3 linked regions of the Lepisosteus oculatus genome follow. The protein of the gene in region 1 interacts with the protein of each later gene in a pairwise test. Links are inferred from orthologs where the notes say so. Each region holds a gene or a part of one and is shown in the gene's direction. Other genes may lie near its edges.

Region 1 (7,860 bases):
TTACACTGAATACATGAAGTCCCAGAGGAAAGCCAAGGATTAGCCCAGATGTCATCTCACCCCTGGTGGTGCTCGGCCACTTGTGCTTTACCATAGTGGATAATGACAAAGCCCAGGTGGACTGGGCGATGACCGAGTCATTTTGCCCATGACCAATACTTTAATTCCTAATATTTGCTCATTTGTTACAACATATCTACAATATTGCAGTTGGCAATATTGCAAATTACTCTTACTGTCACAAGTGTGGTGTAATTTAAAAACATTTTGACTGAGAAACCAATTAATTATTATACTATGAGCATACTAGTATAATATCAAATGCAAATAGCACAAAATGTTGCTCTGATGTTTTATAAATGCCAGGACATCATCCCATATGGCCACAAATACCTAATCTCCTCATGTCCTCTTTATTGCAGACTCTAAGCTGTTTCTCTAACTCATTACAGACAACCATTTGCTGTTAGTCATTCAGCTAGAATAACCCATCTCTTAATTCTTCAATGTCGACAATGTTGTATCAGCTGTTAACTGGATGCACATCCATGGAAAAAAAACAGTGTTGGCTTCTGCAAAAGTGAAGGATGGCAATAATGAATACTTTAATTAACAATATAATACAAATCTGATGTTAATGGATTTGGTTTTCTAGTTCTTGCAAGAACAGCTAATGCCCTGTTTTGGAGGCACATGAATTAATATGCAGTATGCAATTTCTTGGATAGATATGGGTTTGTGATGTTTCCATCATTATGTTTTTTATCAATTATTTTATTTGTTAAATAAATGAACTAAAAGTTTCAGAGTTTGTTTATTACTTGTGTAAGGATTTTCTGTTTTACATCTTAGTTAGCAGAACAAGCATCGTTTAAAATATAATGAATGTAAACAAGAATAAGTGGAGTACCATAAAAATGACTATTTACAGTGTTCTGATGAATTTCAGCAAGATGGAAAGTTTACACTTATAAGTGTTCGATTGAGTCTTAGAATGTGCGTGGGATTTAAAAATGTTTAACATTTCTCAGTAAGTATTTTACCATTTCTGTAAAATTGCTGGAATCAATTAGAATTTCCCTTTTCCAGATCTACTATGCTTGCTTTGTTTTATATCACAAACTTGAGAGTGAGAGGCCAGAAATTTATGGCAATGAGAGAGACTTCATTTTCTTTAAACTGTCCTGACATACAGTATAATGATTTTCTACAAACGTTCCAGATTATTTTCTTACCATAAAAAAAATCAATACCAATTATAGAGATTGATTGTAGTACTAACATCAAAGCTAACACGATGTATTACGCAGTCTGAAAACAGAGAAGTAGCTCCATTGCATTTTGAAGTAATATGTGGTACTTTTACTTTTTATTTGATATGATTTTGTAACAGAAGTAGATTGCAAAGGCTGATCAAAGGCTGGGGTTTAAATCAAAATAGTGATGTCTATATATATATAGTAATACTGTATATATTTAAGTTCCCACTGCATACTGACACTCCTGATCAAAAGGACTCAGAGAATAGAAAATAAAGTTAAAGGATTTAGCAATATAATGTCTTACTATGGGAAAAATGCCTTCAAAATAGTGTCAGCTGCTGTAGACCAGAAACGTACACATTCTCTTATCATTACGACTACCATATCCAAAGGTATTGCATTTTTAAGTATGTTTTTTTATGTATTGTAAATGTACAATATGAACCACACAGATCTAGGAAAAGAAAGAGCACAAGGCTATTGTGTAAAACCACTTAAACACCAGATGAAGAAAGATGAGTCCTGAATGTATACAAAACACTTTTTTTCCTATTATCAAAATAAGCTTCTCATATCAGATGAATCCAATATATCAAGTAGTGAGTGTATTTCAGTCAAGCACAGCACAAATGTCTCAATATGTATGCATGTATTTTTATAATATACTGCATGTAATAGGGTGTTTCTATAAATAAGTTAGCATTTATTCATACATACTGAATAAATGCTAACTTATTTACAGAAACACCCTATTACATGCAGTATATTGTAGAAATACATGCATACACTTACTGTATAAGCAATAATAAAGCCATAATACACATTAGTTTTCCACAGTCAAATGTTGCGCTGTGACACCAAAGCATTGTACCCAGTGTAATGAAAATCCCAAATATACATCTGAGGTTTCAGGAAATATATACTGCATACTGCTTTTTGCTGTCAGTTTTAAACTGCATGTTGTACACGTGGTTCTATAAGGGACTAAAGAGAAAAAAACAACACTGGGTGGCCAGATCAGGGCAGTGAGATGGTTGATTCAATGTCCAGTGCACCCATGCTTCATGTGCTATAACAGTGTGCTGAAGGAACAGGCAATGGGTCCAATGCAGCAGAAAGATCCCCATGCAGGATGAACATGATCATTGGGGAGATGCGCAAGTATGCAGCAGATCAGTACTTTGCAGCACCACAGCTGCCAATGGATTACATTGTGCATGGTATCATGGGAAATGTTGAATTCCTTAGCTCTTGATAGCAATTTTCATTTACCTCTTGTTTCCAATTAATATCTTCAATGGAGCAAATACATGTCAATTGCATAGTTGGACACCATGTTGCTGCTCATCAAAAATGACTGTCCTGATGTAATTAGTTTTCAACTGCGAGAGGCCTTGTTATCTCATGTAAGGAAATGCTCCTACATGTATATGCGTTTTCACTTCTTTAGGTAACCCAAAAGATAAGAAAATGAGCAATACATATAGAAAATATGAGTAACAAAGAAAAAAAGTAAAGCTGGTTATCAAATAACAATGAGATATTCTGTAAACTTGCTTTACAATCAGAAGTGAATAATGCCCTGGCAAACTAAAATGTTAATGGTGAAAAGAGAGGAATATTTTTATCAACATTGTTTTAATATAAGAACCCAGTGCTCCACAAATGTTCATAATGGCCTGTGATCTGTTATCTTTATAAAACATTACATTGCCTGTGACCTGAAATTAATCTACCTGTCATCAGTAGTGCTCTTTCTTGAGCCTAGTGCAGCACCAGCACAGAGATCCCACTGTGCTTCCCTGTTAGCCTGTAAATCAAGTCATAAAGGCAGAACTTTAATCTATACCTTGAAAGCAGAGCCCCTGTGTTTCTGTGTAACAAACCAGCTCTGTTATTTTTACAAAAAACATACATCAAATCCTAAATTTGTTGTGGCAAGTTTTTAAGAATCCTTGTGCAGGTCTCCAAGAGAGGACGAAGGTTTACGAGTCTGAGAGGGGTGAGGCAGCAGAGAAGCCAGTAGTTCCAAGTGAGGCCAAATCTGGATAGAGATAGGGAGAGTATCAAGCCAAACAAATCCGAGAGGGGCGAGACGAAAGATTTGTCAAGAGGTCCAAGGCTAGAAGAGCCTTCGTAATGGAGGTCCGGGAGAGAGAGATTGGATATCAAGGGTTGAGGATGATCCAAGCTCCCATTCCTAATTAGATTCCTAATACCAAGCGATGATTCGGAGTGAATGGAGGGTTTAAATAGTGAAGGAAGGGGTGCGGAATGGAAATTAAATAATGAGGGTTAATTGACGCCAGCTGCACCCCTAACACTTTTGTTATCATGAGTTACAATCTAGTATTTGGAGCTTCTATTACAACACATTCATCTTTAATGAGAAAGACGTTTATTCTTGCTAAAGGCAAGAATAATGCCTGTAGAAACTCAGATCCCATCCTTGAAGCTAAGGGAGCAAAGGAGGAACTGTACCCTGGACAGGATGCCGGCCACATTGCATACACACACCATGTAGACCATGCACCATAGCCTGCATGTCTTTGGAAGATGGGAGAAAGCAAGAGCACCCAGAGAAAACCCACACCATGCAAAGTCTATGAAGAAGGTACCCCAGACTAAACATGAGCCATGGGCTAGAGAACTATGAGCCAGTACAGTAGTACTAACCTCCACTTCACTCTGGTACTCAGAGGGTTGTTTCTTTAATTAGATACCGTAACAAGAAAAACACATTATTCAATATACAGTTTAAAACCCAGGAAAGACAAAATAAGCAGCACGTTCAATGTTTAACAATTGTTTTCAAAAATATTTACAAGAATCTAAAAGTAATAAAAACGTACGTTAAAGTCTTGACTTTAATGTAAAGATCTTTTTGTTTATGTCACATCGTATTCCATTTTACTTGTCCTGTCCTGTAGTTACTTGTAATATATATTTATCTTACTTATCTACATGCATATTTAATTATGCATACATACAGTCCAGTTTCTGAATGTTAGTAACACTGGATGTAACAAACTGTAATTTCTATAATATAAAAATAACAGTTAATAATATACTGCCATGTATTCAACCAGCATTTTCCGCTAATGCTGTACTGCCATAATTTAGAAGGCTATAATTGAACGTTAATAAAGAATTATTTATACATCTACAACGTTCGTAAATTAAATCACGTCAAAAATGCATTTGAACTTACATTTACATACTAATCATTATTTAAAACGTGTTTGTTGTAGCAAATTGTCGGAGAGCCTTTCATGAATACAGGTCACTGTAAAAGCATTGTGAATTTTTAGTAAATGATCATGTTTACTATTTATTTAATTTGGCTGCTTTCTTCAGTGTTGCAAAAAGTTACATATCCTTCCTAACACCATACACAAACGAGTCGGCAGAAAAAAACAGATGCTACGACTAATGCTTCGGAACGACCTAGGACTGAAAAGGTAATCCTGTAAACCCTGAGTCTTCCAGCCACTCCCATTGACTGGCTCGCTTCTCTCACTCGCTCGCTTTCGTGGAGTTGCTTCTGATGCTGCAGCTAGTCACTTTATCTCCAACAGCAGCAGACATGGCGACAGTGGTCCAACCGCTCACTTTGGACAGAGGTAAGCTTGGGACCAATTTATGCATATTGTTGCTGCTTCTGGATATTTATCTGAGACAAACTTCATGGAAAGGCAAGGGAAACAAATGATTTATCATATACCCAAATACCGTATATCGTTCGCTTTACCCCCCTCTACTTATGTTTTCACGAAGATTCTCAGTAAAATGTATCAAGTGGAAATGATGCGCTCTGTACGATTTAAATGCAACTGCATTTTAACGATGAGTAAAGAAAACTGAAGGCAGTTGGATCCCTTTCTCTGTACTCTCTAAAATGTACCAAATATTATATTATCCGAAGAAATAAAACATCAACTAATACTGCATTTTAATACGAGACATTTTTTTTGGTTGATAAATTATAGCAAATGCATTGATCGTAACGTAGCAGTCAAAGTCGCCATTTGAGACAAACTGCTGAAATAGTCGCGCTCGTTAATATAAAATGGGATAACTTTTATGTGGTTGTAGAATTGGTCGAAACACACGACAACTGTTGGATGAATTTCCTGAATTTACTCATGACATAAGGAAGCTCTTAGTCGCACGGCAGGCTCTTCACTTATCAAGATAAAACATGTCACTTGCCTACAAAGCACATGTGAAAGACTAGTATAGAATTCGACTGTGGGCATACTGTACATAAATACTATAATTAGAATCACGAAGATCTGCTTGTCCAGTCTTACACGGACAGCTCATTTAGATAACACCGCCAGCGTTTTTGTCATTTGACATTCTCTGTAGGAGCTATTGGCTGTCATACACGATTGCATTAAGCGCAACGTTATACAGTAGGTTAAACGATGGAGCCAGACGTATGACGGCATACAAATTATGAAGAAATGTAAATGCTTACGATATTCTCTCAATTTTCTAGGTAGTCATTAAAATGAATTATAATTTAGCTAATTTTGTTATAGTTCTTGCTGTTTAATGATACTGTATTTACGCATTATTTACCACAGCTTAGCTCTGATTTTTTTTAGTACTGTAGCTTGCTATAGTTACAGTTGCTGTTTACTGATATTAACTCATGTTTTATATTTCTGTACAAAATCACTGTCAAATAAAAATTCAATTCGCACAACTACACAGAAGCATGCCACATTGACACCAATTTGTAAAGAAGCTAACTGATGAGATAAAGTAAAGGAAAGTCTGTCAGTCATCATGTAGCTGAGTATTATAAAGAGCAAAAAGAGATACTGTACTTCAGTATTCCAGTCATGTTAAAGGAACCAGTGACTATGTACTGTATACTGTAATGATCATTGTCCTCTTGAGACAGGACATACAGCAACACAGCATCCTGGGTTCAAATGAACAAAATTACCATACAGGAAGGATGGGAACCCTGTGAGATTGTTTTGGATGCTCTTGTGTTCTCAAAACGTATTACTCCTACTTTGTTTCTGAGCAACAACGGTCCTGCATGTCATGTGTTTGTTAAACTGTGTATACTGAGGGATTTGGGGGTGGTCCCTCATCACTGATCTGAGTTATGAGCCCTTTAATCACCTCTTGTATTGGTCAATATAATAGAAAACCATTTTTGAACATAAATTCTGTCTCTTCTTCAAAGCTCTCAAATACACTTGTTAGCAGAAATACAACTGTTAATGATATACATTTTGAAAACATTGCTCTCATACTTAATAAAACAGGACTGCATGTCTAATAATAAACAGATCTGTGTCTCATTGAGTTATATAATATATGTTTTTGACCAGGTTTTATAAACATGCTGTATGACTGACATTTAATATGAGTGTCCATCTGTTACTATTGTAGCAAAATAAGCAGTAAAAAAACCCAGTTTCAGGAAGTAGTGTGTTTTTATTCATAAGTCAAACTCAGTAGTAATCTGGTCATTACACAGAGATATTAGGTTAGGTTACATGAGACAAATTAGAGAGTTTAATCAGAATATCACCTTCAGTATATAGTTTTCCAGCTATTGGTCTTGCTTAACTAACTTGTTAAGAGTTACATTAAGAAGCAACAACAGCACTAGGCCCACAGAGGGCATATGGTATGGTTAATTTAGGATTTGATAAAGTAACTCAAGAAAGATTAATTGTGTGAAATGTGTGTGCTTAATAGAAAACAGAGAGTAAAGATGAATGTAAAGTGGTGAATGCTGAAGCTGGGGTGACTTGGGATGATGAAATTCTGAATACTGTATTACTGTACATGCAGGAATAAAGACAGAAACTATACAGTATATACAACATAGAAAATACAGTAGAGCCTCGCCATTTGAATCCAACTTTCGTGATTTTGTAAATATGCTGATTTAAGATCTGATCTGGCCGTCTGGCCAGCAGAGTCTTGGATGAAAGAAGAGTGGAGCAGGATGAAACCAAGCCAAAGATCGTTAACTGCAAATTTCAAAAGAGAATAGGATAGCAAGATGAATCTATTGAGTGAGCCTCTCCCAGCCTCTGCTCAAGTACCCACTACCCAGCATCTGTGCCTCAGTGCCGTCTTGTTTTTTCTTATTGTAACGATCACTTCCGGTTCCGTGTCGGCAGCATGGGCAAAGACAGGCTGGAAGATAACTTTCCAGGCTCACTGACAGTTTTACTGCCCTTTTTATTGCAGTGGGGCAATGCAGTGAAGGCTTCCTCTGGCCACAGAGGGATTCATATTGTTTGTCTTAGCTGATATAAGTTTGTGATTACAGCTGTTTGTTTAAGTTGATTAATGTTATTGTGATTAACTTAAAGCAAATGCATGAATACTTTAATTATCATAAAAAGGAGGGTTACCTGTGTACATATGTACATTATACAATGGTATAATTGGTGTGTGGTGGAATGGGTTGTATGTGGATTTGGCTACTGTGATGGATCTGTTCACCACACTCTTGTGAATGCTGAGATCTTAGTGTAATAAGCTTGTTTCTAGATTATGTTTCTTTTACAAAATTAATAAAAAGCAAATACAATGTTAGGATATCGTATAAATG
Region 2 (7,634 bases), on another chromosome or scaffold:
GGTATCATTTTATGTTTTACAAACAGTATTTAGCCTCTTTAGGCCTGTTTAACAAGATACGTAGCCAAGCCTTCCCCCTTGGAACCAGAAACATAATCTAGCAGCTGTATTCACAACGTCTATGAATAAGCATTTATGTAACTCATAGTTTAAGATGTCAAACATTCATATGCCTACTTGCATTCTTTGGACGTAATTAGTTGTTAGATTAAGCGATACAAATAGTCGATAGATTAATCGTTTACAAAATAATCGTTAGTGGCAGCCCTAGGCCCTAGACACTGTGCCTACAGTGCCTAATGGGGAATCCAGCACTGGTGGCTGGGGATTTGTCAGCAGCTGAATTGCATATTATGGTGTCCAGCAGACTGTAGGAGGAGCAGTGGTCAACTTGTAACTAGAAGGCTGTACACTCCTCTCGGACTGATGGAGTAACATACTCAGCTGTATAAATGGGTGCATTTGTAAAGCAGTCCATCCATTTTGTGGCGACTTCATCCAGTAGCGGGTTGTGGGGGATCTGGAGCCTAGCTCGGCAAACGACAGGCGCAAGGCAGGATACACTCTGCACTTGACACAGGTTACACCAGGGCCAGTTTTCCCCCAAACTGATTAACCTACCAGTGTGTCTTTGGACTGTGGGTGGAAACTGCAGCACCTGGAGAACAGAGAAACTCCACACAGACAGCACGCCAGGCCTGGAATTGAGCCCAGGGCCCCAGCACTGCAAGACAGCAATGCTAACCACTGTAGCCTTGCTGCACTCACAGCATCCACTCGATGAATTGTAAGTCACTAAAAAATAAATGCATCAGCCAAATAAAGATACTTAATAGAAGGCCTATCTGATTACCCTAAGGTTACCAGGCCCGGGGGCCAATTAATCAACGCCTGTATCAGGACACAGTGCGTCTCCAACCCACTCTGAAGCAACAGGCAACCTTGCAATTGCAGATACAGACGCAGCAGCCCAGAGCTAAATAAATCAACAGAGCGGTTTTGGACTTACAAAGCACGGCGCCGAGTCGAAATCACTGGGGGACTTTTGACATTATTTAAGAAAGAATTGCTATCCACTCCCCATCTATTTGAAAGTTTTCTGCTCTGAAATGGCCTGGGAAGAATGCCAGGCATAGGAAATTGAAAGTCGACACAGAGGGAGAAGTAATGGGCTACAAATGCGAGGGCTCGCTGTGTGTTTACAGATAATTTGTGCTTGGTTTTTCTAAGACGATCTGTAATATTTGGCTGTAGATGTTTTTATTTTAGTATGCTGTCTTGCTGTTAAGATGTGCCAGGCTCTGCAGTGTTTGTTTTAGCTGGGCAAGACCTTGCTGGTCAAGATGGATCTAAATAAAGCTGTTGGGAACTACAGAGTGAACAAAGGCTCTTAGCTGCAGCTGATATATGCCTGTTCGTTAAATTATTTTGTTGATTTGTCTGCCCAATGCGAAACTGCCGATTGCTTCTTTGTGTCTGGGCTCACAGTGACGACCCCTGTACCTGCACGGGGAGGATGAGGAAATGTGCCACAAGGCTCACTGCGATGTACAGGAGGGTCAATGCTGATTGGAGGAGAGGTGTGTCCTGCGATGATGTCATCGCATGCCTCGAGATTCCCAGGAAGTTGCAGGGTGTTGCCGTTTTGTTGGCAGTTAAGCCGACTTCTTTGCATCACTGAGCCATTTGGCTGCCACTGTTGGGGCAGTCCCAGTTTTTGGCCGGCAGTGTCATCTCTCTGGCTCAATCTCTTGACATCTGGATAACAGAACTCAGCTTAGTCTGGGTTGAACACCTTTTGCTGGCTGAGCCTTTTAGGATCCCCGATACCCCCCTTTTAAATTGTGTGACCTTAGCCCTGAGGAGGAGCATGATGAAGATTGACATTGTGTCAGCTCGTTGCTGTAAGACAGGAACTGATGAGAGCAAGGTGACAGTGTTCATAATTTTTAATGTGTGCAAGAATGGGATGAGATGAAGACCTTTTCCTCCCGATATCCTTGCTTGAAGACGAACAAGACAGATGCTGAAGAAATAAATAGTTTTGTCTCACTCCATTTCTTCAGAAATGAACAATATGTGATTGTTTTGGAAAAAAAAGCTCCAAATGCCACGGCTGATTGGATTACTCATGAGATGGCTTATTACTGTTCAGTTGACCTTTATCGTGCGTTTCATCCTGGTACAAATTTCTGTAGTCTCCTCATCACTTAGTGGGAGCTGAAATGAAAGTACGTCTTTGCATGATTGCATAAGCAACATTACAAATGAGAGGGTGGCATTCAGCCAGGCTTGATCTTATGGTTACATGGTGCTTATTGATCAGAAAACTAATCAGGCCTCCTCAGGGGTTGTGGGGAATTGGTATTCATGGCGTTGGGTAGTGTCATTGAAGAATATCCTATGCAGCAGGATAGGATACTTCAGTTACTCAAGCTGCTGTCAGCCTGCAAATACTGAATGTACTTTGTGCGTATATCCAAACAGCATTTTCACACTTCTGAAAATCAATTCTGTACAGAAGGTTGCGCAACACAGAAAATTGGAAATGTGTGTGATGTCCTGGAAACACTTGCACCTTCTAAGAGTCATGGAAACTAGGAAGAACTGTTAGTTCCCAGGTGTTTCATATAGCTACTTTTGCAGTGCAAACATTAAGTACGTGCATATGCTAATACAGTACCTAGATGTGCAGCTAGAAAAGCAAGAAATCCAATTGGTATTAACCAGACTGCAGCCAGCCATTAGGAAATTGCTGTAGTGGGCTATACATGTTGTGGTACAAATTGCAAACCCAAGGTTGCTGGTAAAGTTAACTGGAGGTCCTGAGAGCAGTCCTGACTGGTGGTTAAAGATATTGGGGTGCTTTTTGAAAGAGCAAGGGCACAACTGACTGTGCTCCATTTTCACACCTGGAAAAAGGCAGTAAATCCTCAAATCCTCTCCTCTCCCCGTGATTTGCTTGAGTGGAGCATAGCTTGTGTGCAGAGGGAGTTGTGCTTCAGCTGTGTTTATCCTCTCATCTGTAAAAGCCTGAAATCCTGCGGGTGAAAGAGGCTGTCTATGTGCACAGTGCTGATACTATTCTTTATACGACGGATCAACCCACATTCTCACTGGACAGGTCAGACAGCTGAAAATGCTATGGTTTTATACAGTCCTTTACTGTGAACTATATATATATTCTAGGTGACAAATAATGATAGCTCTGTGCTTTTAAAAACATCTTCCTTCCAGCAACTGTTATTCCACTGCCAGAGGAAAAATGCTTCTTGTTGTAGTCCCTGTCTAATCTCATTTAGTGTAATCCCTCTGCTGAGTTTTAGTGAGGAAATGGAAGCTGCTAAAATCATAAATATAGGAATATATTTTTATTACCTTTTGGATAATCTGAGCCTTAAAGAATAATTAGGATAAAACGAACATACAGCAATTTAGTTTCATGAAAATATGATGACCCAAAAGCTACAAATCAAAGCATCTCTTAGATTTGAAAGAATGCAATGTTAGGCACCAGCAATATTCTCTTCAGGGTAGGATATGCAATATTGTAATGTGTGACACGTTCAGCTGAAAACCCCCCGATAGTGATCTGTTCCCTCGCTTGCCTGTCGGGCACCTCCCTGTCCTGAAATACTGTTAAGTCCGTTTACATGCATATTTTACAGCACTATCACGAGCGATGTAGAGATTCACTACACGAGCGAAGAATAACAGGGCTGTCAGGTCCCTGTTCTGTGCTCTGAATGCCAGATGGATGAGGGGAGCAAACAGGAGGTCAGAGATGTTCAGGTGGGGTTGAATTTAGCCAAACAAAGAGTTTAGGCCTCTTTATAACTCAGACAGGACCATTCCTCCTAGACTGGGACTCCCAAACCAGGGTCTGTCCCTCCAGTGCCTTCTGGGTTTCAGTCCAGCATGCTCAGAGCTGAGCTTAGTAATCAGAGAGCAAACCCAACCAAGTATTAGTTGGATTAAATCATCAAGCGTGTAATACAGAGGTCATTTGGAACAAAAATCAGAAGATGGACATGTATACTTCTCTGAATTAAAGGGCTCCTCATTCAAACCTAATTAGATCCGGAGGACCTGAATTTCTGTAGAGGTGCAAAAGTAGTCATTACTATGTCAGTGCAAGCTTTCGTTCCCCTTTTTCTTTGCCCTGTGGGTGCTGTGCAGAGCAGCGCTTAATGAGATCTCGGCTGAGACACTTGTTACGTAGAAAAAGGATTTTATTGATTAAAGGCAGAAGCGTGTTTGTCAAGGTGCAAGAAGCAGCAGAGCCCTTTCCAAAGCAAAAGAAGCACGTAGCCCCCAGTTACATTTTAGGAGATGAAAACAACAAAGCATCCAGCCTCTTAATTGTTTTTCTGCCAGATCTGATCGGATATTGCGGTGTTGAGTGCCAAGGAACTGGGTGTATAGCTGCCACTTGTTATCAGTGTGGAGAAACAGGGGGGTGGGGCTGGAAACGGTGTGACGAGGTGATTGGACAGTGTGGGCAAATGAGGTCACTGTGGGTGGGGAGTAGAGGGAGGGGCCTTGTTTACTACACTTACTATTATTATACATGCCTGCCAAGACGCAGCCAGTGCTTAGTTAACTCCTCCTCAACCTCCCCACCCCTCCCTTTCCCTAAGACATTGTGGAAGATGTCAGCGTGAGCACTCAGCCCCTTCCCTGCAGACAGCTGCTAGAGAGAGGGTGCTCAGGCTCGTAAGGAAAACTCAGCCGAGCAGACAGGCTTGAGCTAAACCCAAGCTCCAGCAAGAGATCGCTCGTTCTCTCTGCGTTTCCGCCCCCCCCCTCCGTCAAGCCGTGACATGGCCAGCAGCCGCTTGAGGAGATTATCCCTGGGGGAGATGGGCTCTTTAAACTCCTCGGAGGGCTCGGAGCTGAAGCTGAGCAGAGAAGGTAAAGTGTGGTGGGTGGGAGGAGGAGGAGGAGGGGGAGGAAGAGGAGAGCGCTTTTTTTTCCACTGGGTTGGAGGATTGGAAAAAGCACCATGTTCCTGGAGTGCCAGTGTCTCGGGGCTGACTGGGGCTCAGAGCGAGAGATCAGAGCAGAAATTGCAGGATTAGCTCGAGCTCAGTTAGGGAAGTAGTTTCTTCAAGTGTCAGGTCAGCGGGTTGAAAGTGTAGCGACCCAGGTGAGCTCACACAGGATGAGTGGATTGAGGCAAGGAGATTCTCGGTTTAGACAGAATACCCCCGGCCTCTGTCAGCTTGTTTTGTGTCTGAAATGGATTTCTGATGCATTAAGGCTCGTCAATTTCAAGATCGTATTTTTGTATTGATTTGTATTTCCCGTGTGTGATTTGATGTGGGATGTGTGTGGCATGCCTGTTGTTTCAGGAGTGCTTGTGAGCTCTGATGTTTGTTTCGGATTGTGTGCTATGTTTAGCCTGGTGTCACACCACAGGGTCTCAGCTGCCGTGCAAGATCGGGAGGATGTTTTCCTGGTAGGGAGGAGGAGTGGTTGTATGAGTGTGATCTGGCTCTAAACAGTCTTGATATTGTGAATGAAATCGCTCTGGTCCAGAGACTCTGTAAAAATGCACTTGCTACATCCAGCAAGCTGCTGGCAAGTACATCAGGTTGTGATCTCTGTCTGCTGTGTGGAGGAGACATGGCGAAGTGTCTCAGTGAAGCCGGGACCCTCTGTATTGCTTTAAAATACGGCGGTGATGGTGATTGTAAAATTCTTGGTGCATCTGGCACCTCCTGAAGCCAGATCTTCACTGCTTCTCAACCTTTTCTCGTTTTTTTTTTGGAATGTTGTATTTGTAATATACGATTATAGAGCTAGGCAGTTTTATGTTTGTTCCTGGCTGAACATCAGACTCTCAGAGCCTGATGAGCTCTTGTTTAGTTGTAGCAAACGTGTCTCTCACAGTAGGTTCAGTATCCTTCCCAGGACTGTTTTGCAGGCCCCTTCTGCACTGGAGCCTGGAGCCCGGAGCCCTGGCGGAGAGCTCAGAGGCTGTGTCTTTTCTCCTGAGCTCTGTACCGTCTCTGATGTGGTTTAAACAGCGGTGTCTTCTGAACTTTTCACACTCTCACCGGAACCTTCCTTTGCTTCTGGCACTTTTCCATAATCCGTGGGAGGTTATAATCATTGACTGTATTGCACCTGTAGTATGTGCACTTCAGTACTGTTTAACCCTGGCAGCTTAATAGTGCAGACATCTTTCCTGAAAGCTCAGCGGTCTTTGGTTTGCAAGTGAAGTCAGAATGCCAAGCACTGAAAGATTGCTGGAAACTTAAGAAGCCCCATGTGGTGCCTGCTTGGAGATAGGCAACATTCCACTCTCCAAGTAACTAAGGGGCGTCCTGGAGCCTGTACCCCTATAATTACAAGATAGCTCTCTCCACAAGACCGTAATTCAGACCAGTCTGTGGATCATGCAGAGGAGAACACTGCTAATGCGTTAGGTTATGATGTATAAATAAATGGTTCCTAGAGATTCTATTAATTTACTTAATATCAAGTTCTATAGAGGGCTTATAAAGCTGCTATAGATACACAGTGGTGTTCATCCTGATTTTAAAACAAATACTAACCTTGATCTTACCTAAAGACTACTAAAATATCTGGATGTTTTAATAATCTACACAACTTCAATTCCTAGTAAACTGGAGTTAAATAGAAGGCCTAGTAAACCACAATTATAGAACTAATAATCGGTCTTTTTAACTCTTCTAGACAGCCTCTGATGTGTTTTATGAGTAACATGTTTTTACTAAAATGAAAGTTTTTAGTAATCCACTGTTAAAGACCCTATGAAGAGTCCTGCATATTTCATAAGGAAATAATTAGGATCATTGATTGACTGCACGGGTTGGAACAATAAGCAGAAGACGCAAGACCCTCCAGAAATTGAGGTTGAAAGAAAGGCTGACCAGTATACCTTGTGCTGCCTTTGAGCTATACTGCTGTTAATAAGCAGCTACAGTACCTGCCATAATTTTAAATGTCCAATTCCAGCCCGTTGTGGTTTTGCAAGACACAGATACCCCAAAGGTGTCTTAAAAATATTAGAAAAGCATCTTAGAGTAAAGGAGTTTATTGTCATATGTACATGTATATTGGGATTCTTACTGTTCTCTCAGAACATACACAGTACAGCAGACAACACCACACAGTGTAGCCACTACATTACAAAATGGTTCATAATAAATAGTAACAACCAGAACAATAAATGCGTTGTAAGAACAATCAATGTAGTGAAAAGTACATAGAGCAGTGGATTGAGTTCTGAGGAGCTGCACAGTTAGCTGTTAAGCATGTGTACTGACAGTAGGGTTTTGACATCTAGCAGCAAAGACGGACATAAAAAACACCAGTTCCACTTCTGCAAACTGCAGAGATGTGTGGCTGTGCAAGCATGGGATGTCCAGTCTTTCAGAAGGCTGTGGACCGCAGAGACACACGCTGTGCGAAACGAAAGCAGATGGCAGAGCCTTGGGTATCCACAGGCCCACTGCAGATGCTCACTGCCACTGGACTGTAAGCCTTTGCCAAAGAGGTTTGCTGCTTGCAAAACCTCATGCCTCGTCAATAATTCGCTTCCCAAATGAGGGACTGCCCTTCTATACTGCTCGGACTGAGTCACGAGCAGCCCACGGACCTGT
Region 3 (7,292 bases), on another chromosome or scaffold:
AAGCACACAGTAGGTGGCCAGCCCTGTGCAGATACTTTATGCAAAAATAAAAAAATCCATGATTATAAAAGTATAGAATTGTCTTTTAAAATCTCGACTTAACCATTAAGGGGTGACCACGTGGAAGTGTAAATATGAGGTTATCAGAATGTTGTAAACTACATCTGCCAAAGAAAACGTGATCACGGTATACGTCACGAGTTTGCCTATGTGCGTTAAATGTTTCCTGTTCTTCATTCTTACCAGTTTTTCTTTCTCTGGAACAAACATTTGACCAGACAATGCAACAAACATTTGACCAGACAATGCAGCTATTCACAGCATGCATCTGATTTTGTAGTCCCCCAGGCAGTAACGTGCTGTAGTTTAAGAACACAGCTGTGTGCTGAAGGCCCCGCCCTGGACAGCACCTTAAAACCCTTTCGGGTGCGCAGAGGGCTTGGTTGCTACGCCAACGGAGGATACTTAGAAAGCTGTTCAAAGCAAATTATGCATCTTCTGTGATGCTGAATACGCTACTTTAAAATGGTTTGTTTTTCTTGTTTTTAAGTAAGAGCTGCAATAATTTCACACCTCAGCAGGAGAAGCTGGCTTTTTTAATAGTCCTGGTGACTCAGCAGTAGTTAAGACTCTCTTTGCTGTAGGTGGGTGCTTTTTTGTTTTTCAGGTTGTGCTTGTGGCATCTGAGAGTGACCTCACCATTAGTCATTTGTTTTTTTTGTTTTGTGCTTCTGTTTGGTTTTATTTTTTTGGCCTGTGACCTTGGATGTGCCAAAGCAGGAGTTTTACAAGCTGTTGACAGGTATTTTAGCTGGCAAATACAGACTGGACCTGTTTTATTATTTTAAAATACACTGTGAAAATGGTCAGAAAGCTCACTGTTGGTGTGTTGGGCATATCGCTCACACACAGTGCCTGTGCAGTATGTTTGGTTACAATGTACTGTACTGCTGCTGAGTTCATTTTGTGTCAGTGTTAGTGCTGCAGCATGTGTATCTCTGCAGTGTGTCCTGTGTGCAGTGTGGCCCTGTGCTCTTTGCAGTGTGCAGTGTGTCCTGTGCTCTGTGCAGCGTGTAGTCCAGAGCCACGCTCTGCTCGAGTTAATAGCAATCCCCTCAAAAAGGTTTCTCCGAGTTCAGAGATGTCGTAAGAAATAACAACCAATGCTGCACAGCTGAATCATCCAAAGCCCTCAGCACCCCAGTGGGAAGGACAAGAAAGGGGATCCTTTCGGAACAGCAGGTCACCTGAGGAGGACTCGCCCCCCTTACGCCCAGGCTGGACACTCAGCCCGCTTCTCTTGTTGTCTTGAACGTTAGGCCGGTGGTCAGCGGGGCGACCCGTGTGTGCGGTTGCGTGGGAGGGAGCTGTTCGCTCTGTCTTTCAAGCATGGATTGCTCCCTGTCCTTAGCTAATACCAGGACAACATCCAGCCCGCAGCAGCAGCCTCTGGGGGTCCTGACCCTTCTTCTGCTTCTTTCAGTTTTAACGCCCATCAGTCAGGCTGTCATAAACATCAAATCCTAGTTGGGAGCTGAGTGGCGATGGGCAAATCCTAAAAAACAGATTTCCTAATCCGGTGTTTCTGTCTGTGGATTAACTGCGATCAGAGGGAGTGCAGCCCAGGGCTGGGGATTAGGCAGGGGCAGAGCGTGCCCATCCCTCAGGGCACAGACGCACAGCGATGCCGTGAGCGCGGTGGTCATGCAGGACTCTGCTCTGCTGAACACAGCCCACAGCTTGTGACGCGTGGCTTGTGATGACAAAGGCTCACGTTTTACTCGATGCCTTTCACGAAACGTCTCTGCTTGCAACGTGCTGCGCACAGCCATGCAAACATTAAACATCATTTTTGATGAAATGAACTTTGTCATTGTGCAGTTACGAGGGTGATTTGTGATTTAACAATCTTCTGCGTCCTGTTGTTGTGACACAGTGTTTCTTAGAAAGTGCTACTAGACAGAAGGAGCCCAGCAGAATGGTCTAAGTGCTCTTGTCTTGATTCCAGTCCCCCTTACAACATGGTGCAACCCGATTTTCATTATCCATTGTCTGGAATTGGTAGTCGCAGAATTCGGGCTTCTGCAGGCTTGCTGCAGTCCCTCCAGTCTGCAAACGTGCTGCAAACTTATCCAATCCCTCTTTTACTGTGCTTTATGCTTTACCTTCCTGTAATGAGTTTAGACCAAGTATTTGCCATAAATAAAACTCACTGACCTTTTATAGTATTGTGAAATATTCATTAAGGTATTGGTTTGTCATAATTGTTTTATGATGAAATAGATTGGGATATGTGTGAGATAGGCGCCTTTTCATAATGGTTCTGAAAAAGAGTTTTTTTAGTTTGCCCGAAGTAAACAGACATGACTTTAATTTTTGCCTTTTCTAGCTCTGCAGGTCTTCTGTACTGAGGATACACAGTGTGATTGAAGGCCATCAAAAAGCACATTGGTGGGGTGAGCCTGTCAGCTCATGCTGGGTATAGGGAAATGACTGTGGCCAGTTCTAATTCCTGTACAGGTAAGCTCTCGATGGGCAGACTTTTAGCGTTCCAAGACGTGAGTGCAACTACCTGAAGGGCTATTGACAATATCCCTTGAAAACAAGCTGAGAGGGTGCAGTCTTCAGAATTTCAGAAGTCTTTTAAAACAAAAGAATATATCTTTCGGATTAAAAACTGGTCAATGGATAGGAACAGTACAGATAAGAAGTGATTGCCAAGACTGGGAGATGTACAGTAATTAGTGGAGTACCACAGGGATCTGAATGAGGTCCAGTGCTCTTCCTAATTAATATAAATGATATAAATGGTTATGTTTATAAATGTAAACTAGTGTAGCTCTCAGATGAGGATTGGCAAACACTGCAGAACATGGAAATTCAGAGATATTTAAATAGTATTTAAGATTGGACAAACCACTGCAGATGACATTTAATATAAAAAATGCAGTGCAGCACAGGGACTAGAATTTAATCTCAGGGATGTTATGATTGTACAGTGCTCTAATAGGACACATATACAATATTACATGCATCGCAGCATGATGTTGCTGCACGGCTGAACCCGATACCCTGGCTTCTTTCAAGAAACAGCTGGATGGGAGCCTAGGATCAGTTACAGGTAGCGATCAGCAGCCAGACCAGCCAGATAGGCTGAATGTCTCCCTCTCGTTTTGTAGCCTTCGTGTGAGATTTGAGAAGGAGGCTGTCGTTTCCTTCACCTGCGTGAACGACTGTGCATTTTAAATGAGCCTGGGAGACGGCTCTCCTCCCTCTGCATTGACTTGGGCTCCCTGCTGACATGCACGGGTTCAGAGCGCAGTGGGGCTTGTGACCTGGGGATCTCCAGCACCCAGTCTCTGGCCGCCTCCCAGCCCTGAAGGTCTCCTTTTCGCCATGCTGGGAGTGACGGTCTGGACACAAGGGGAAGGGGGGGGAGAGCTGCTGATCCGCGGAGCAGTGTAGGACGTGAGGTCAGTGCCGTTTCCGGACCTGCAGCTTCCTCAGCTGGAGCTCCTGTCTGCACAGAATGATTTCGCAGAGCTTCAGGTCTGGAGCAGGAGGCAGCTGCTGGGCATCATGCAAGCCTTGCGGCCTTGGCAAGGTGTCCTGAAAGATGCCTTCGGAAACTAGAAAAAGGAGACCAGTTTGCTCAAAAATAGATTTTGAAGAAATTGTCTTTCTAAGTCTTCCGAGTTAATTTGTTGATTTATACACTGCACATCGTTACTTCGTTAGAACTTCAGATTTTATCACTTGTCGTGAAATAATTTAAGATTGTGGTCAGGGAATCAAGCCACAGGCCGGTCCGAACTGTAGCTGGAGCTCGGTGGTGCCCATCTGTTGTAAATGCAGTTTTATTGGCCTTTTGCTTTTATAATAGACTCTTTGTATGTAAGATCATCATGTATTATTTTAATGATCTGGTGAGCAACATTCTTAGTGTTTTATAGTTCAGACCTGGTAGATTTCACATAACATAGTTCATACAAAACTTAGCAAGGTTAACAATTTCTTACACGGTTCAGTGACAGCTACGGAGAGCGCAGTTAATATTCTAAGATATGATGATGAGATATGATGTCCAACATGAACCTGGATCTCTCAGAGGGGTGTAATGTGAGTGGACATGCTACTTACAGCGTTTACATACAGTACCAGCAATGTTTACCTCGACATTGGTGAACTGTGTAATAAACCAGAACAAAATCTTTAATTGTTTCTAGATTTGGGATTTGGGATGTTGAAATTTGGGCAGGCGATGAGTCTAATGAGAAATTAACTATAAATAATATCCACACATTCTTGTGAATCCTGACACGAGGAAGAGCACAGGAGCAGTTCATCTCCTCGATCAGAACTGTAGCGCTTGTCGCGGGCTCTGAAAGCGGAGTGGTGCTGTATTTCTAAGCAGCTGCAGCAGCACTTACATAAGATTATTGCTTCTGCAGCTGAGGGGGACAGTGGAGAGCCCTTGAAAACAAGGGATTGTGGGATTAGAGGTTCCAGCTGGTATTAGAGGGCAGAGCTCGCCCGAGCCGCACAGCCTTGATTCGGTCGCTGCCCTGAGGACCCGGAGCCCACACAGAGCGGTGGGCACGTCACCTGTGTCATCACTCCCTCCCGGAGCGGGCTGGCATTCCCCTGGGCGATCGCACCGGAGGACTCCCACCAGCAGTTAGTCACATTGATCTGCGGAGACGAAGCTGTCGGAGGGAAGAGTGCAGGATCTGCTCTGTTCCTCGCGATGGTGTTCTCGGCTGCAGAAGGATATACAGACAGTTTAGATTCCTCTCCTGAAAGAGACAGCTCTTCTTCAGGGGGTGAAGCTAATTCTTCTGTAGGTGAGCTGGTTGTTGGTTTTACTCTAAATCGCAGGGGTACTGGTCCTGAAGAAGCAGTTACTACTCGATTAAATAGCAGCTGGGTTCAGTCTGGACTTCTGGAGAAGTTGTTTCCTTACTGTGAGGTACTGTACTGTTATTATGCTAAGTCTCTCGAGTGCTAAATGTCAGTATAACCAGGGGTTTCGGTGGGGGCTGTCATATAAATTGATTGTCAGGAACAGTATTCCAGCCTGTGCCAGTTCAGGTTTTATTTCTGGATTCTCGCGTTTGCAGTGTTAAAAGAGCCGGCAGCCGTCCTGAGAGGGAGTCCCCACGTGCACAGCAGGATGCAGCAGTGGCGGGAGAGATACGAGGCGCGTCGCCTGGCTCTTGAGAGGCAGGATTGATGTTATTCGGGAGCTGCGGAGAAGGAGCCGGTTCCTGCTCTGTACTCCCATCTCATCCCTCCGCACGAGGAAGTGAAGTGTCACTATCGCAAGCGTGCATGTTGATTCACTTCAGCTTGCACCATGAGAGAGGGTCTTAATAAAATCCCTGCGGTACCTGATTACTTCTGTTGTGACACAGTAGTAAGCTCCATAATCTCCACAGTTTCCTCACTGGAGACAGGCTTTGCACTGGCCTGTGAGCATTTTCCTCCAGTCCCAGTCTTATATTTGCAGATTTATCTGTCCTTGTGAACAGCTCAAATTAATGAATGGGTGAATGGGTGTGTTGTGCAGCGTTTTAGAAACCCATGAATATGTAGGAATGTTTTAGTGTTCGTGCTCTTCGATGCAGCGATGCTGCAGTGTCGTGCCTTCACTCTGGTCAGATGAGTGTTCAGTCCGTGTTGCTGTGAAGCATGGAGACGGTGTCAGTGCCGTGGATGGGATCACCTGAGCTGGGTTAGACACACAGGTAGAGCCAGCTCTGCGGCGTGCTGCTCTCCTGTGTCGGGTGCTGTCCAGAGGTCCGGCAGAGCAGACCTCGGATTCTGCCCGGGGCTCTTGTGCTGCTGGGCTCTCTCCTGAGCGCCGCTTGTCCACCAGCGTGGCCCCCTGTCCCCCTGTTGCTCCCTGTCCGTGGCGCCATGCTCGTGAGCGCTCGGGCGAGGGGGCTGCATGCCGCATGTCGGCTCTAGAAACATGCAGACACCTTCGTCTTCAGAGGGGAGGGAATCTCCAGTAACCCTTCGTAAACCTTTCTAAAAGAAAACCACTTCATGCGGCTGTCGTTGGCGTTTGGACTCCCAGCTGTTTGTTGCTGTCGGGCAGTGAGACTGGTAGCGCGCTAAGCCTGCGCTGATGAAGCTCTGAAATGTCTGAAGAAGGTCCTCATTCCTTTGCGTTCCTCTTTTTTTTTACATACAGCGTTTACTTTTGAAAGCATCTGGGACAATGCTGGAGTTCTTGCTGAAATATGCGTCGCTTGTCAAATGTTTCTTGCAGTATAGTCTTGGCTCTGTTACGTATGGGCATAGATTTTATTAATTAGTTTTCTTAAATAATGTGCCTTTTCATTCTCCTATTCCTCAGGGACAGCAATAAACCTTTGTTTAATCCCATCTGAGGGCTTATTGTGCAGTTTCAGATGGATGTTTCAGCGCTGGCAGTGCTGGCTGGGTGAGCTCCTATTCTCTGTTTCCCTGCAGCCTTAAAGGACTGCTCTGACGCGGGGGTCTGTGAATGAGAGCACGAAGGGGCTGGGGGCTTTAAAACACTTCGGCCCTCAGCGGCGTGGCAGCCAGAGGGGCCTCGGGGCCCCCCGCCCCCCCGCCGAGCCGCTGCTTTGTGTTTTTGCGCGGTGGGCACGTTGGCGGCCCCGGCTCGGAGGCTGACCGCTCTGCTGCGCTCGCCGACTCCGCTGTTGAGACGACACCGCAGCCCTCTGGCTTGAGCCCAGCGAGGTCCCGAGGCCCGTCAGTACCGGGATGGGAGACCTTAAGGAAAACCCGGTGTTGGCGGAGCACAGTTTCCAGACCGGTGTCCCATGGTATGGTCACCAGAGACACTGTGCTGTAGTAGGGGTTAAACCAAGATCTTGACAAGTCGCTCGTTAAAGATGTTCGTTAGAGCAGGGGTGTGCGTCCCCAGTTTCCTGGCTTAATTACTCTGGGCTGTGTGGTCTGGCCCTCCTAACTGAAGGATTGAAGTGAAACACTTTCTCCCATGTGTGCCTGGGGCCGCAGCTCGGTAGTGGGTGAGTGGGTCCCCTCCTGTGTGCGAGTAAAGTACAGGAGCCCGGGAAACGCGAGCGCTTGGTGCACACCTGACGGAACTCATACAGGCTGTACATCCCCGTCAGAGGCATTCAAAACTTTCCTTTGCAATTTACAGGTCATCTGAATGTAAAAGTCAAAAAGACGTGCCTTCCTGTTGTAGTGAAAGTAATTTGCGCTCTGTCCAGGTTCCCCTCGGAGGCGTTCGGGTTGGTCTGGGCTGCTCTGCAAAGCGGCGCCATCGC

Evidence for each region. The genes of interacting proteins can lie anywhere in the genome.
Region 2: the proteins of lin7a (region 1) and mpp2b interact in binary tests that used the Homo sapiens proteins (3 or more experiments, as listed by UniProt). The two-hybrid records come from large-scale screens. The link is inferred for Lepisosteus oculatus from reciprocal best matches to the Homo sapiens genes LIN7A and MPP2.
Region 3: the proteins of lin7a (region 1) and pals2b interact in binary tests that used the Homo sapiens proteins (3 or more experiments, as listed by UniProt). The link is inferred for Lepisosteus oculatus from reciprocal best matches to the Homo sapiens genes LIN7A and PALS2.

What each region holds. Positions count from the first base shown.
Region 1 is NC_090702.1:19,594,511-19,602,370, forward strand, and holds the start of lin7a (protein lin-7 homolog A), read left to right. Parts: upstream 1-4,765; 5' UTR 4,766-4,809; coding exon 4,810-4,885; intron 4,886-7,860. UniProt on the Homo sapiens protein: Plays a role in establishing and maintaining the asymmetric distribution of channels and receptors at the plasma membrane of polarized cells.
Region 2 is NC_090723.1:7,491,885-7,499,518, forward strand, and holds the start of mpp2b (MAGUK p55 subfamily member 2b), read left to right. Parts: upstream 1-4,593; 5' UTR 4,594-4,823; coding exon 4,824-4,914; intron 4,915-7,634. UniProt on the Homo sapiens protein: Postsynaptic MAGUK scaffold protein that links CADM1 cell adhesion molecules to core components of the postsynaptic density. In CA1 pyramidal neurons, required for synaptic KCNN2-containing channel function and long-term potentiation expression.
Region 3 is NC_090705.1:1,081,161-1,088,452, reverse strand, and holds the start of pals2b (MAGUK p55 subfamily member 6b), read left to right. Parts: upstream 1-4,251; 5' UTR 4,252-4,747; coding exon 4,748-4,844; intron 4,845-5,030; exon of another isoform or gene 5,031-6,423; coding exon of another isoform or gene 6,424-6,451; intron 6,452-7,292.